Nothobranchius furzeri: one gene and its partner. The protein of the gene in region 1 interacts with the protein of each later gene in a biochemical or structural test. Links are inferred from orthologs where the notes say so. Each region holds a gene or a part of one and is shown on either strand. Other genes may lie near its edges.

Region 1 (7,902 bases):
CAGGGGGACACAGGAAGCTGCGCTGGGTCATGAGCTGACTCTATAAAGAAATGTTAACGCGGTGCTTTATTTGATCTTTTCAGCTTTCTTTTGGCTAGCGGTCTGCTTAGTGGTCTGCGCTCATGACGCCGCGTGTCCTGCTGGAGCGAGACGTCATGCAGTCTGCCTCACAGGAATCTTGCTCCGTGCCGTGTGGCACAGTTCTGGAATTCTCACAATGCGACATGAACAATCTGCCGCAAATCGCACAGTGTGATCTAGGCTTAAGGAGGGGATGTTGGTTTTTCCTGTGAAATCTTCATCTGTCTTCCCTCCACCTGAAAATGCTCTGCCCCCTCCCTCCTAGCAGCCAAAGGTCTCCTGCGAGGCGTAGACCATGTAGAGGAAGCCGTCCTCGTCCCTCTCCTGCTCATAGATCTCAGAGATGGGGGTGGACACCGACACCATGCTGTGCTGGTTGACCAACAGGAAGAAGGCCTGGGTGGGGTTGAGCTGCAGCCGACGCCTAGCAAACCAGAAAATAAACGAGGGGTAACGGCTTACTGATGGCGTAGATTCATAACTTTGTGAGGTAAAGTTTTCATTTACCAAAACCAGAGACGTTTACGGAGGTAAATTGCACACAATTCTCCAATATATAAGAAGGGATTTTACAGAACCCCCCTGGAAATGCAGGGAAGTAAAAGTAATCAAAATTGCCCAAATTTATGATGAGAGATAAGAAATATTAGACAATGTTAATGATCCAAGAGAAGCTGAGCCTCCCAACAGGCCACTCGGCAGACAGGTTTCAGTTTACCTGATGATCTTCACCAGCTCGCTCATGTTGACGTGATCCGGTACCAGGAACTTGGTTTTGTCCAAAACTGGCAGCTGTTTCTCACCCTTATACCGCTCGATGATCACCTGCACACATGAAACCACGACGTTTAACAGACTGTGCCTTGCAAGCCTGTTGGAGAGCTCTCAAATATCCTTGACCAAGCAGTGTTATGTTAAATTCACAGCCCCCCCCCCCCCCCCCCCCCCTTCAATCAGGGAAATAAAGTACAGAAAAATAATTTTACTTGCTGATAAAAAAGAAGCAGAAACTGCTTGGATGACCTGTTAGTGCCGTCAGCAACCGCAGCTTGCCCTCTGTGTCCAAATAATCCAGGGGACTGCCTTAGACTGGTTTAGGTCCTACTTCTGTGACCGCACCTTTAATGTTATGATGGGTAGTGCTGCCTCCCCCTCTGCGGCTTTGACTTGTGGTGTTCCCCAGGGCTCTATTCTTGGACCCCTTTTATTTAATTTATATATTTTGCCCCTGGGTGACATTTTTAAAAAACACCACATTGATTACCATTTTTATGCAGACGATTGCCAATTATATGCCTCTGTGAAGCCTAATGACTCCTTACTGCCCCTTGTTGAATGCTGTAATGATGTGAAGAGCTGGCTGTCAGAAAACTTTCTTTTGCTGAACGACGCTAAGACAGAGGCCATCATTTTCAGCCCTGGTACTTCTCAAAGTCCCCAACTGACCCTTCCATTTATCACAAGTGGGTTGAAAAACCGTGTCACAAACTTAGGGGTTGTGATGAACGCTAAACTAAAAATGGACATTCATGTCAACCAGGTAGTTAAGATCTGTTATTACCACCTGAGGCGTCTCTCTAAAGTTAAGCCCATTTTAAAAAGGCGTCATCTTCATTCAGTTGTCCATGCATTTATTACTTCCCGTCTCGACTACTCTAACTCAGTGCTATACGGTATCTCCTCCTCCACTCTCGCTCAACTTCAGCTTGTGCAGAACGCAGCAGCTCGTTTCTTGACTGGCACCAGGCAGCGGGAACACATCACACCGGTTTTAGCAAATCTTCATTGGCTCCCCATCCATCTCCGGATAGAGTTTAAGATCCTGGTTTTTGTGTTTAAATCCCTAAATAACTTAGCACCTGGCTACTTGTCTGAGCTCATTCACCCATATGTCCCTACAAGATCTCTCCGATCAGCTGACCAACACCTCCTACATGTCCCTAGCTCTCGCTGTAAGTCCCGCGGGGAGCGCGCCTTTTCAGTTTGTGCACCGAAGCTCTGGAACCACTTGCCCCTCCCGATCAGACTCTCTTCCTCTCTTTCCCTTTTTAAGTCTCGTTTAAAAACTCACTTTTATTCTCTGGCTTTTAATTCTGTCTAACTTATTCCCTTTCTACCTTTCCTTTTAGGGTTGGATTACTTGATTTTAATGGATTTAGTTTTTATTTTTGATTGTTTTTATTGTGTGTTTTGTTCAGCACTTTGGTCGGCTCTCATGCCGTGTTTAAATGTGCTATATAAATAAAATTGGTATGGTATGGTATGGTAAATAATCCGATGATTAAATGGTAAATAGCCTGTATCTGTATAGTGCCTTAGGGTTCTACAACCCCCCAAGGCGCTTCACAACACAGTCATTCACCCATTCATACGCTGGTGGTGATGAACTACATCGTAGCTAAAGCTGCCCTGGGGCGCACTGACAGAGGCGAGGCTGCTGAACACAGGCGCCACCGGTCCCTCCGACCACCTCCAGCAAGGCGAGTTAAGTGTGTTGCCCAAGGACACAATGACAGAATTCTCTGGTCTGAGCCGGGATTGAACCTGCAACCTTCCGATTACTGGACAACCCACTCTACCTCCTGAGCTGCTGCTGTCCCTTACATCCAAGCACAAACCCACAGAGGACACAGCTAAAGTTCAGAGTCAAAATGGCCGAACGTCCATTAACATGAGGCCTTTCCTAGAGCTAGCTTGTAGCTCTGGTGCTCAATAATTATTCATAATTTCAAGCATTTAATTACAGTCAAAGAGTTATAAAATAACTCACCCCCTCAGAGTTGTCATAAATGTTAGAAAGATCAGTCAAACCTAGAATGGCTTTTTGAACCAGGCTGTAAATGTGTTTATTTATGCTGTGAAACTGGCTTTTTTAACATGGGAGTCAAAGGGAACTTGCTCTGTTTTGGTACTAGCCCCTAGCGGATGAGGGTGGAACTGTAATTTTTGGTACTTCCATGCTGGAGCAAAGCCAGCGGCCTTGATCCCTTGGTACCGACGCACACTCAGAAGCATAAGCTCGGCTTAAATAGCGCCAGATACATGGCTATAACCAAGCAGCTGGCGGTCTCTGTTTTAGTTCAGATAGTCCTCGTGGGCATGAATGTTCCGTCTAAGAGAAGAGCAAAACACTTTGCTTCCCTTCTCAGTTATCCAGCATCAATTAACAGAGGCTGCCTGTGAGGTTCACTTGAATTAAAGAGAACTGAATCCACCTGAGCATAGTCGGTGGAACCGACAGATCCTTGAGTGCACAGATGCACTTTGTTAGGCAGGCATTTATCAGGAAGGCATCGATGTTCTAAACTCGCTTTGTGGACTACCCCCCAGGTTCGTGCGTGTGCAGCTTACAGGGATCTTGTTTGGGTGCTGCTCTCGGATCTGCTGGACCTCTTTGCATCGATCAGCTGTCGACAAAACAAATAGACAGCATGATGAGATTAGGAAGTTTACAGCAACAAGAGAAGATGTGTTTTGGATTGGTGGCCATATTGCAGCCATTTTGGATGGTAGGCTTTCGACTCCGTGTGTCACTGCAGATGGCTGCTTATGCTGATCCAGGATCCTCTGGAGGTTTCTTCCTGTGAAGTCTCTGACACAAGTCAGTGACTCGATGCAACCTGCTGGGTTACTTATATAGGAAACTTTTTACTGATTGCATTAATGAACTGAACTATTGGAATGTTTACTTTGAGAAGCGCCTTAAGAGGACTTGTCGGGATTTGGCGCTTTATAAATAAACGGAATTATAGATAGGGTGAGAAGCTCAGTCATCCGGGAGGAGCTCGGACTAGACCCGCCTCTCCTCCACATCGAGAGGAGCCGGTTGAAGTGGCCCGGGCTTCTAGTTGGGGTGCCTCCTGGACGCCTCCCTGGTGAGGTTATCCAGGCACATCCAACTGGGAGAAGACCTAAAGGAAGACCCAGGACACACTGAGGGGACTATGTTTCTCAGCTGGCCAGGGAACGCCTTGGGATTCCCCGGAGAAGCTGGCCCAAGTGGCTGGGGAGAGGGAAGTCTGGGCTCCCTGCTTAGGCTGCTGCCCCCCATGACCAGATTCCAGATAAACGGAAGAGGATGGATGAAACTCATTTCTAAATGAAACCATCATAACCACGTTCTGGACCTTAGCATGGGTGTCAAACTCTGGTCCTCAAGGCCCACTATCCCACATGTTTTAGTGTTTTCCCAGTTTCAACACACCTGATTTCAAGCTTGGGCCTCCCTGCTTAGACTACTGCCTCGCGACCTGATCCCGCGATATATTTGCATCAACCAAAATAATCGTGGTTATCATTTTCGCCATTGGCCGGATGGGTCTCTTCCTGATGACATCATCCTGTGGTTCCAGTCAGAGATGTTAGGGTGTTCCAGGTGAAACTCCAGTTTTAGAGCTTTCTATCAACCCGTTCCAGGTGTTCATCTACATAGTTCTCACCTTGCTTTGATATTCATGTTTCTGACACTGACAGCTGGTCCGTTCAGGTGAGCGGGTCACTGCCAGACTCCTCCCCTCCTGTCAGGTGACCGATTTAATCAGAGAATACGTGTAGGGGTCATGTTTCAGCACAACTTGTTGTTTTGGCCTCGCGGTGGGTCACGGAGCTGATCCGGTTGTGTAAAGGCTGCGGCGTCACATTGACCCCGTTTACCGTGAAGCTACAGACCGACCATCAACACATGTAAACACGTTAAATCCGGTGTGAACCTACGCATTGAAACGCACTAACGCTAGCTGTAGACAGCACCGTCTTACCGAACGTTCTCCGCTGCTTGAACGGTCGGTCCGACGGCATCCCGGCAGCGGCTTCAGGCGAAAGAAGGTGATGAAAACGGCCCTGGGAGGGTTTCAGATGGCTCGGTCTGAAGCTCCGCAGCAGCTCCGTACAAACAAAGCCAGTAATCTGACGCGCTGACGTCATCCGCTGCCTTATGGAGGTGAGTGAGGCAAGCCAAGTTGTCATTTAATATTCAGAAAAGTTATTCAGTTCCTGTCAGTAAAATTGAGGCCGTCTCTGGATCAGATCTCTGATTTTTATCTGATTTGGTGCTAAATACTGATAAGGTCATGGTAGTGGGGGATTTTAACATTCATGTGGACATTGAAAATGATAGCCTCAGTGTAGCCTTTAGTAATATACTGGTTTTACCCAAAGAATGCATAGCTCCACCCACTCCTGGCATCATACATTAAACCTTGTGCTGATTTATGGCATAGAGTGTGAGGAAAATAACGATATTTCCACATAATCCAGTCCTCTCGGACCACTTTTTGATCACCTTTGAGTTTTTTTATAACTGAGTTCTAGAGACATGAAAGTAAATTTCACTATAGTCTGTCTTTATCTGACAAGGCTGTTGCATCTTTTAAATCAATTATTCCATCTTTACTGTCCTCAGCATCTCAGAGGACTGTAGCAGAGGGCAATATTTTCATTTCTAGCCCCTCACAAATTGATGATTTAGTTCATAATGTTACTTCTTTACGTGTGGCATTAGATGATGTTGCCCCTTTAAAAAAGGTAATTAAGCACAGGAAGTTGGCTCCCTGGTTTAATTCTGATTTACAAACTTTAAAACAAAACTCTAGAAAATTGGAAAGAACATGGCGCTCTACAATTCAATTCAAGTTTATTTATAAAGCATCAAATCAGGACCAGAGTCGTCTCAAGGACCTTCACACAGTAAACATTCCAATACAGGTCAGGTCATTAAGCCAATCAGTAAAAAGTTTCCTATTTAAGGAACCCAGCAGGTTGCATCGAGTCACCTCATACTAAGAATGCAGCGACAGTGCAGAGAAAAACTCCCTTTTAACAGGAATTTTGTGTTTCTTAGTAAACATTCTATTTGGTGAGATAAACTTTATTGTATTTATCCTAGTGAATCTATAATTAATCTGGTAAACTAGGAGTAGCACATTCAATGTCAAAGAGAGTAAAATGTTATTGTCAGGAGAGGGAGAAGTGGTTAGCAGCAGTGTGCTAGCCAATGGCCCCCTCCATGAGGCCACTACAGCTCAGCAGAACATCATTGTAGCTTCTTCTGGGGAGGAAAACACTTAAGAGTAAAAATAAAGTTAACAGCTGAAATAGCAGGAAATAATGCAGTTAAAGAGCAGATTGTAGAAGAAAGTAGTAGAGTGTGGAAAGTGGTCAGTATGTCCTCCAGCATTCTAAGCCTATAGCAGCATATCTACAGAGATAACTCTGGATAACCTAGCCTAGTCTTAAAAGTAGAGACGGTGTCTGCCTCACGGACTAAAGCTGGGAGCTGGTTCCACAAGAGAGGAGCCTGATAGCTAAAATATCTGCCTCCCATCCTATTTTTAGATATTCTGGGAACCACCAGTAAACCTGCACTCTGAGAGCAAAGTACTCGGTTAGGAACGTATGGAACAATCAGATCACTAATGTATGATGGAGCTTTATTATTAAGAGCTTTATGTGTGAGAAGGAGGATCTTAAAGGCTATTCTGAATTTAACAGATAGCCAATGTAGGAAAGCTAGGACAGGAGAGATATGATCTCTCTTTTTAATTCTCATCAGAACTCTAGCTGCAGCATTTTGGACAAGCTGAAGATTTTTAACTACATTCTGTGGACTTCCCGAGAGTTATGAATTACAGTAATCCAGTCTTGATGTAATAAATGCATGAACTAGTTTTTCAGTATCACTACTGGAAAGGATGCTTCTAATCTTAGCAATATTCCGAAGGTGGAAAACGGAAATCCTACAAACCTGTTTAACGTGGGATTTGAATGACATGTCCTGGTCGAAGATAACACCAAGGTACCTTACTTTGTTCTCGGAGACTATTTTAATGCCGTTCAGGTCAGGTGATTGATTAAGCAGTTTCCTTTTCTGAATTTCGGGTCCAAAGATTAGAACTTCTATCTTGTCTTGATTTAAAAGCAGAAAGTTTTGAGTCATCCAACTTTTTATGCCATCAAGACAAGCCTGTAATCTAACTAACTGATTAGGTTCATCAGGGTTAATGGATAGATATAACTGAGTAACGTCAGCATAACAGTGGAAGTTTATCACATGCTCTCTGTGTGTGTCCACAGCAGGTGACATGGTGGTGGGTGGTGTTGTCACTGGCCTGTGGTTAGCCCTGCCCCACTGGTAAACCTCGGAGGTTTTTACCAGGGCATTAAAGTCAGTCCTAAACTGATTTAGGTCATTTTTAATGGGTATTATTCCAATTTCTGTTGTAATAAATGGTTTTAACAATCTGAAGCCACAACTACTTGGGCAAAAACGAACCCAAGTGCCTTACAGTCATTTCAAACTAAGTCCTTGGGTGAAATTCCCAAGGTGGCGTTGCTGGTTTTGGATAAAACGTCAGTCGATTTTTATGCCACACATACATTTGCAGTGGTCTCTAGAAGCTTCAGATGGCAGCATCTGGAGTCTTTTCCTGATATGTGGACATCTCTCCTCTGATTGGCTAACAGCAACACAACTCTACCACTGACTCTGTTTACTATGCAATGTTGATCTCTACAAATAACACAAGCCTGGAGAGTTCTGCTGTGTGGTGGAGTTGCTAATGCTAACAGTTAGCTTCTACTAGCCGAGACGTTCTCTACTGTTTCCTGAAGCGCCTTGTGATTTTTACCTTGAGAGGCGCTATAGAAAAGATCTTTTCTTCTTCTTCTGGACACTAAACCTACAACAGCCTTCCCTGTCGTGAGCCAAAATGAATATTAAGGGCTGTGATTTCCTTGTTGTCTGAGCTTGCGTTGGTGCAGGCACAAGGCTGCGTCTTTGTTCACATGCTGCACAGCACTAGTACTGGGGTGTTACCATAAGGG
Region 2 (7,777 bases), on another chromosome or scaffold:
AAGAGTAAATAAAAATGCCCTGTCTAACACCAATTAGGCAGTAATTACTTTAGTCAGGCAGTCAGGCATAACATTAAATCTCCTTTTTGAAAAGCAAAAATACATTTAAAAAATTGCACAATCTACATCCAAAACAAAACGTACAGGCTTTTGTTATTTAAAGGTGAGTCAGTCTGTTTCATTCAACTGTCCGACGTGCTTTTTCTTTAAGTGTTCATGCATCTTCGAGGTGCTGCAGTATTACGCGACGACTGCTTTGCAAATAATGCAGGTCATCTTTTTATTCGCCGAATCTGGGCTAGAATGCTCCTAAACTTTAGATGTTTTGGTACGCGTAGCTGATGTGTTGGGCGCCACCATTTCTGTTAGTTAGTTGGCGCTCAGTAGAGAAGCTATTGCGCATGTACGACTCTCGGCAGAGATTGTATTGAAGTGAGATGCCTCACTCGGTTCGAAAAAAACATGCCTGGCGACAACGTCGACAATGAAATTCATTGTCAACCATTTCTATTATCAACATTTGTCGACAACGTCGGCAAATCGTTGCAGCCCTAGATGACAGGAACACCTGCTGCTGGGAAAGAGGCAAACACATCAGAACCATTACAGGACCCGGGTCGGTTCTGACCAGTTAATTCCTCAACGTTCTAATCTCTCATCGGCCGCTCTGACAATCAAAAATCAGATTATAGTTTTTATTCCAACAGCAGCAAAGCTTTCACAAATGTTCTCTCTCCCAAAACCAAAATTTCATTTAATCAAAAAAAACAAAAACATTTTATTCTAGTTTGTAAACCAGGTCAGAAACCAGAATGAGAGCGTCTCTATAGCTGAAGCTTTACTAAATAATCAATATTTAGAGCAATAATCTGTTTAACTGACCAGAACCACCCTGATAATAAAAATGATGCTACAGCAAAAGCCGTGTCTCCCACGGCGGGTCCTGACCTTTGCTCCCAGTGAGGGATGAGATCTTTCTGGGTCGGGCTCGGATGTCGTAGATGATGGGGTACTGGAACCAGGGTAGCCTGCAGACGACACCGGTCAGAACTTCTCAGATAGACGTTTAAAAATGATCAGATTTATGTTTTTTCAAAAAAATAAACAAAATTTTTATTTTTTGTTCCTAAATTATTTATCAGCTGATCAGTTGGATCATTAACACATCGAGTGCAAGTTCTGAGTTACTACACACACCTAAAGGACTATCAGGAACACCATACTAATACGGTGTTGGACCCCACTGACCGTCAGAACTGCCTTAATTCTATGTGGCGTTGATCCAACAAGGTGCTGAGAGCATCTTTAGAAATGTTGGCCCGTATTGATTGGATAGCATCTTGCAGTTGATGGAGATGTGTGGGATGCACACCCAGGGCACGAAGCTCCCGTTCCACCACATCCCAAAGAGGCTCAATCAGGTTGAGATCTGGTGACCGTGGAGCTTTATGACATGGTGCATTATCCTGCTGGAAGTAGCCATCAGAGGATGGGTACATGGTGGTCATGAAGGGATGGACATGGTCAGAAATAATGCTCAGGTAGCCCGTGGCATTTAAACCATGCCCAGTTGGCATCAAGGGGCCTAAAGTGAGCAAAGAAAACATCCCCCACACCATGACACCACCACCACCAGCCTGCACAGTGGTAACAAGGCATGATGGATCCATGTTCTCATTCTGCTTACGCCAAATTCTGACTCTACCATTTGAATGTCTCAACAGAAATCGAGACTCATCAGACCAGGCAACATTTTTCCAGTCTTCAACTGTCCACTTTTGGTGAGCTTGTGCAGACTGTAGCCTTTTTCCTATTTGTAGTGGAGATGAGTGGTACCCGGTGGGGTCTTCTGCTGCTGTAGCACATCCGCCTCAACGTTGTGCGTGTTGTGGCTTCACAAATGCTTTGCTGCATTCCTCAGTTGTAACGAGTGGTTATTTCAGTCAAAGTTGCTCTTCTATCAGCTTGAATCAGTCGGCCCATTCTCCTCGGACCTCTAGCATCAACAAGGCATTTTGGCCAACAGGACTGTTGCAGACTGGATGTTTTTCCCTTTTCACACCATTCTTTGTAAACCCTAGAAATGGTTGTGTGTGAAAATCCCAGAAACTGAGCAGATTGTGAAACACTCAGACCGGCCCGTCTGGCAACAACAACCATGCCGTGCTCAAAATAGCTTAAATCACCTTTCTTTCCCATTCTGACCTTCAGTTTTGAGTTCAGGAGATTGTCTTGACCAGGACCACACCCCTAAATGCATTGAAGCAACTGCCTTGTGATTGGTTGATTAGATAATTGCATTAAGGAGAAGTTGAACAGGTGTTCCTAATGATCCTTTAGGTGAGTGCATATCTGTCACTTTATTAACCAATCAGGTTTGACGGACTCCGCTCTTGTTTGATAACATGTAAAAAAAAAAGGTTTAAGAACACAGGTGAAGGAAAGTCACTTATTTGAAGGCATTTAACATTCAAACTGTATCTATGGTTTCTGGAACCAGACACACTAGGAGCTGCTGATGCGGTTGCCAGGATAACCCACCTGAAGTGGAGTCCCTCAGAGAGCACCGTGTTCATCTCCATGCCCCCGATCCGGTTGAAGATGACGGCTCGGTGGCCTCCCTCGACTGCACACGGAGGAAAGGGAAACAACGATTTACACAAGAACTTTGGTTCTAACTGGAGCTCTGGGTCTAAACTGGGCCTAACTGGTTCTAACTGGAGCTCTGGGACTGAACTGGACCTTCCAACTGGTTCTAACTGGACATTCTAACTGGTGCTCCGGGTCTAAACTGGGCCTAACTGGTTCTAACTGGAGCTCCGGGACTGAACTGGACCTTCCACTGGACCTTCTAACTGGTTCTAACTGGTGCTCCGGGTCTAAACTGGACCTTCTAACTGGATCTCCGTGTCTAAACTGTGCCTTCTAACTGGTTCTAACTCTCCCATTTTCCTATCAGGTGACCCCTCCAGGAAAGGCGACCATCGAGCAGGATTGATGGTTTATCCCTTGAGATCCACATAGCAGGGGTGAGGAGTGAGCACCACCTCACCCCTGCTATGTGGACCTCAAAACTCCTGTCATCTGGAAAAATTACGTTCCTCTTTCTCAAACACTTCAGTGGAATTCTGCGTATTTAGAAAGATAAACTCCAGTTACTGCTCAGTAACCAGAGTTCAACCAGGAGCTTTGGTCTTCAGTCCCTGCTGTAGTAGTTGAGAACCACCCTGCAGTCTATCTGCTCCCTAGTTGCTTTTTATATGAATCCAGGCTTTTGGACAACTTTTGATTTTGCATTTGACTCAACAGCAGCTAAAGTTAAAACAAAGAAAGAGGTTTATCTGGAGTAAAGCACCTGACTTGTTAACATGAAGAATGCAGGGAGACATGGTCAAGTAAACAACAACAAGCTGCATTGCTTAATGCTAGTTTCATCGTCCTGAAACTATCAAAAACTAAACTTTAAAGAGAGTCAAACTTTCCTGTAACAAACGTGGCGACTCATATGCACTAGTTGCTTTAATCGGTTTTCCTGTTAGGTTTGGAGGTCCAGGTGTGGGAAGATCACCTGTGTACGTGGCCTCCTTCAATCCATAAGCCAGAGCTCCAGCTCCAAGCAGCAGTTTGAGGCCTGTTCCTGCACCCCGGGGTCCCGAGGACATCCTGCCTGCGATCTGCCGCAGCTGCTGCAGAAAACCCTGAAAATAAAGATGGAGGTTCAGATTCTGACCCAAACAGGCTGCATGGGTGGAGAAGGTTTAAATATAAGACAGAAGTTAACCTGAAAAAACACCCCTGACCTTTGACCTGACTAGGTAAGCTCAAGTCTGTTTACTGGAACATCTTTGTTACACCCGTGAGAACAGGACTAATTCACTTTTCTTATTAGGAACTCAAAATTAGGCGATTTCTTAAAAATGTCTAAGGTACAGCTGACTTACAGGCGTTGCGTCCCGATTATTTAATGATTATCATAATTTATTTTCATGCTGAATTAATGAAGGACTTACGGAACCTCTGAAAAAGTATAAATGAAATAAACAAACCCGCGTGACCCGCTGGAAACACGCGTAAGTGTCTAAATTTACAGCATTTCAGGGCGAAATTTTGACTCCGAATAACACAAGTACAAAAACGGCTCTTTTAGCATATTAGCTTCATTTACACCCGCCGTGCAGCTTCACTATCACCTTCCATCAGGACTCACGTGTCAACGTTACACGCTGCTACCGCTAAGCAGATGGCAAACGGCGGAACCGACGGACCGGTTCTACCGAGCCGACCGTTAAGACGTCACAAACGTCTATTTTAAACAGAAAGCTGACTTACACCGGGCTCTTGGTTCGCCATGCTGTTCTATCCGCAAGTTAGAAAAGCAAATGGGAAGAGCTAGACCAAGGTCACGCTGATGACGTATTTCCGATTGCGCGTGGTACCATGGGAAATGTAGGATTCCTATGTTTTGGCCGTAAAACCCAGTGAACATCAATATTCTGCCGTTTAACAAGAGTTTTACATAAACAAACACAATAATTACAATAAAGGGTTTTACTGATCTTCTGTTCAGGCAGAATGCTTTTTCTTTTTGTTGTTTTACTGAGTCTCTTCTACTTTATTCAATTATAAAGAAATGAGCTGATGCTGATGGTGGCATTACTTCCTACTCTGTTTATCAGCGAGCAGCAGAGGACGTTGTCACCCTCTGCTGCCCGCTCTCATTCGTTTCATTTCATTTACTCATAAAGACCAATGCAGACGCCCAAGGTGCTGAACACAACCAGAGGCGGTTTTACCATTAGGCATAGGTAGGCCCTTGTGTTGGGGGGCCCCCTAGCCCTGACCGCTGGCACCCCTCTGTTAATGCCACAATACTCTTATTACCAACCTGTGGCCGCAGACGGGATTGGACATGCTTCTCATTACCATAAGCCCTGAACCGTTCAATATATCATTAAAATTCCAAAAGTGATGAAAAGATTAAAAATGGGGCTTTTCGTGCATATACAATACATTACGGTAGCCACCGGGATTCCCTGTCTTGAGCGCAACGAATCACAACAAAGATTCAGAGACGTTCTGAGTTTGTCATCCAAAATGCTCCGTTTTACAACTTTTGAATGGCTGATCAGATCCAAAAAATTCCAACGGTTCATAAAAGTACATAAAAGCAGCTTTTCAACGATCTATAGTATGAAGCAATCAGAGTTATGGAAAATATCGCTACGGGGGGAAATCCTTCTGTACAGCCGGATTGAAACGGAGCGTATTATTACTATTTCTGTATAAACATATTCTTTCAATTGTGTGGAGCTGCTGGAGCTGACAGCGGGATGCTCCCCGCCCGCTGGGAGGGCCGCCGTTATTGAGCTCGGGGGTAGCTCAACAGGCACATGGGGGCGTGTTTGGAGAGGGTCTTACTCCAGCGCCGCGGTGACAGCGGATATCGGAACGGGGAAGCTAATTAGCATAAAAGCCAGCATGAAATTGTGGAAATGCCTCAAAGAAAATCAACACGATCTATTAAGTGTCCCAGAAGGCTTATATCTGAAGACAGTGACCATGAAGAAGGACAGATCTCCAGTGAACATATGAACGTTTGTTCAGTCTTTATATTTTATTTTTTTATTTGAACAACCCTCAACTATTTGCTAATTGTAAGATTCAGCTTCATTACAGCATTATTTATCTTTTTACAATAAATAATTATTTTTGCTAAAACAAAAGTTTTTGGTATAGCAGTGCACGGTGTGCCAGAGAAGCACCCCATGGCAGTGTGAGGTGTGAAGGACTCTGCCTGCAGCTGGAGAGAAACTGCTTCAAGGCCTACCACATCAAATAAAAACATCTGAAAGTTTACAAATAAATTGTCTTAAAAACTGCAAAAAAAAAAAAAAAAGATACCAAGGTTCAAATTAAGAATAGATGCAGTTCAAAGTTTAAATTGTTTGCCCAGTAATTTTGAAGTTCCTGTTCAGTAATAACTGTAAAAAAAAATCAAATCCGTTTTTTGCTTTTTTTCACTTTTAAATTGATTTTTTAAAGGCTGTAATAGAAATAAATTATAAATACAAACCATACACTAAAAGCTGAGGTTGTTCTAAAAAAAGGAGAGCATTACACACACTTTGAACTTTTTTATTACAATTTTACAGCCATAAGATTAATAAAATACCAGGCGGCCCTGTTATAATTATGGTCATAAGAGGGTTATTAAGACGGCGATGCACAAACAGGAAGTGATTGGTAGTGATTCCACTCCAATCCAGTTGGTGGCGGTAATGCACCAAATGGTTGTTTGCCACGTGCCATAAGACCACAAATAAGAATAAGAAGAGAGGCGGGAGCATTCGTAACAAACTCAAAGCGATAGTCAAAACATTGAGCATTAAACTGAGTTATCCTAGTGGCTCCAATAAGAGAAAGAAGCAGCTTGCTTCATAAAAGCTTTTATCTTCACTTCTGAAAGTGACGTCGTTTTTTGATGTAAACATCAAAAGGAAGCAGAAAGGAAAGACAATGGAAAATGTTTCAAGGGAGGAAAACATGGACCAAAATGGAAAAAAAAACTAAGGCAAAAGCACAGGAGCACTGACAGAAAAAAGAAAGCAGAGCAAATATTGAAAGCACTCATAGGGTGGGAAATACAGGAAAAAAGAGGAGGACTAATAAAACGGGAAAATAACTCATGTCAGAAGAGGAGTTTTGCAAATCCAGTTAAAGGTAAGATTGTCTAAAATTTAGTGTAAGGGGCCCCATGTCTGTGTTCGCCTTGGGCCCCCAAATTGCTAAATCCGCCCCTGAACACAACACAATCAGGGAAGCCGTAAAGCGGTGAAAGATTAGGAAGATTCTTAGGGCCCACCGCTGTCAGGGGCCCCAAAAAGTTTCAAAGTTGAATAAAAAAAACTGAGTTTAAAAATCACAAGTACTTTACTTTGCAGTATTTTTTCTCATTTAAGACATTAAACAAACAAGCTTTTAGTCTTCATGAAATGTAAATTTATTCAGACGTCCCTACTTTATTTTGACTAATTAATTTGACCCCCCCCCCCCCCCACACACACACACACACACACACCTCCAACGGCATAAAATGGTACAGTCCACGTGGCCGAGGGGCACAAAGCAGGCGAAGCCAGCTCACGCCGCAGTCAGACAGCGGAGTGCGCCAAGGCTGCAGTAAAAATATGTCTGCAAAAACAGTCACAGAAAAGGAAAGAAAGAAAGGAGAAAGAGGACAGGCAAAAGAGAGGGCGTCAGTATGTCACACAGTTTTTCTCAAAGAAAGGTGGGTTTAGTTAGTGAGTGGTTAAATTCAACCTGTTAGCTAGCTCTGATATCCACAGTGAGAGGAACTATGTTTCATCTAATTATGGTAAATGGGTTGTCGTCCTTGCCCCTACCAGAATCAGCAGCTGGTGATATGTCAGCAGGTGTCCCCTCACAACCCAATGAACCTCAAGAAGGTGAGCAATGTAGCATGTTAGCTAGCTGCCTCATTTAAGGGGGTCTGTGGGAATAACTTAAGGCTCTCTTCTCTATCAGTACTATTACAAAGGAATATAAAAAGGCTATTTTTGGTGATAAACAAATTGTTTTTCCACATAATGATAATTATATATATCAATCAGTAAAAAGGTATAGTTTGCTTTGAATGCTGGGCAGGTTGAAGCATTGTTATTTAGTCTGTTAATGTAACATAAATTACTGTGAGATTCTTACTGTGAAGCACCTTTTTGAAGGCACCATACAAGAAAAAAAACCTCTTCATATACTA

Evidence for each region. The genes of interacting proteins can lie anywhere in the genome.
Region 2: the proteins of microtubule-associated proteins 1A/1B light chain 3A (region 1) and prohibitin-2 form a complex in vitro, tested with the Homo sapiens proteins (2 studies listed by BioGRID). The link is inferred for Nothobranchius furzeri from reciprocal best matches to the Homo sapiens genes MAP1LC3A and PHB2.

What each region holds. Positions count from the first base shown.
Region 1 is NC_091743.1:78,248,456-78,256,357, forward strand, and holds microtubule-associated proteins 1A/1B light chain 3A, read right to left. Parts: upstream 5,008-7,902; 5' UTR 5,005-5,007; coding exon 4,839-5,004; intron 3,489-4,838; coding exon 3,433-3,488; intron 907-3,432; coding exon 800-906; intron 506-799; coding exon 343-505; 3' UTR 85-342; downstream 1-84. UniProt on the Homo sapiens protein: Ubiquitin-like modifier involved in formation of autophagosomal vacuoles (autophagosomes). While LC3s are involved in elongation of the phagophore membrane, the GABARAP/GATE-16 subfamily is essential for a later stage in autophagosome maturation.
Region 2 is NC_091751.1:35,031,906-35,039,682, forward strand, and holds the start of prohibitin-2, read right to left. Parts: upstream 4,427-7,777; 5' UTR 4,351-4,426; coding exon 4,330-4,350; intron 4,287-4,329; exon of another isoform or gene 4,208-4,286; intron 3,699-4,207; coding exon 3,569-3,698; intron 2,627-3,568; coding exon 2,542-2,626; intron 1,029-2,541; coding exon 949-1,028; intron 1-948.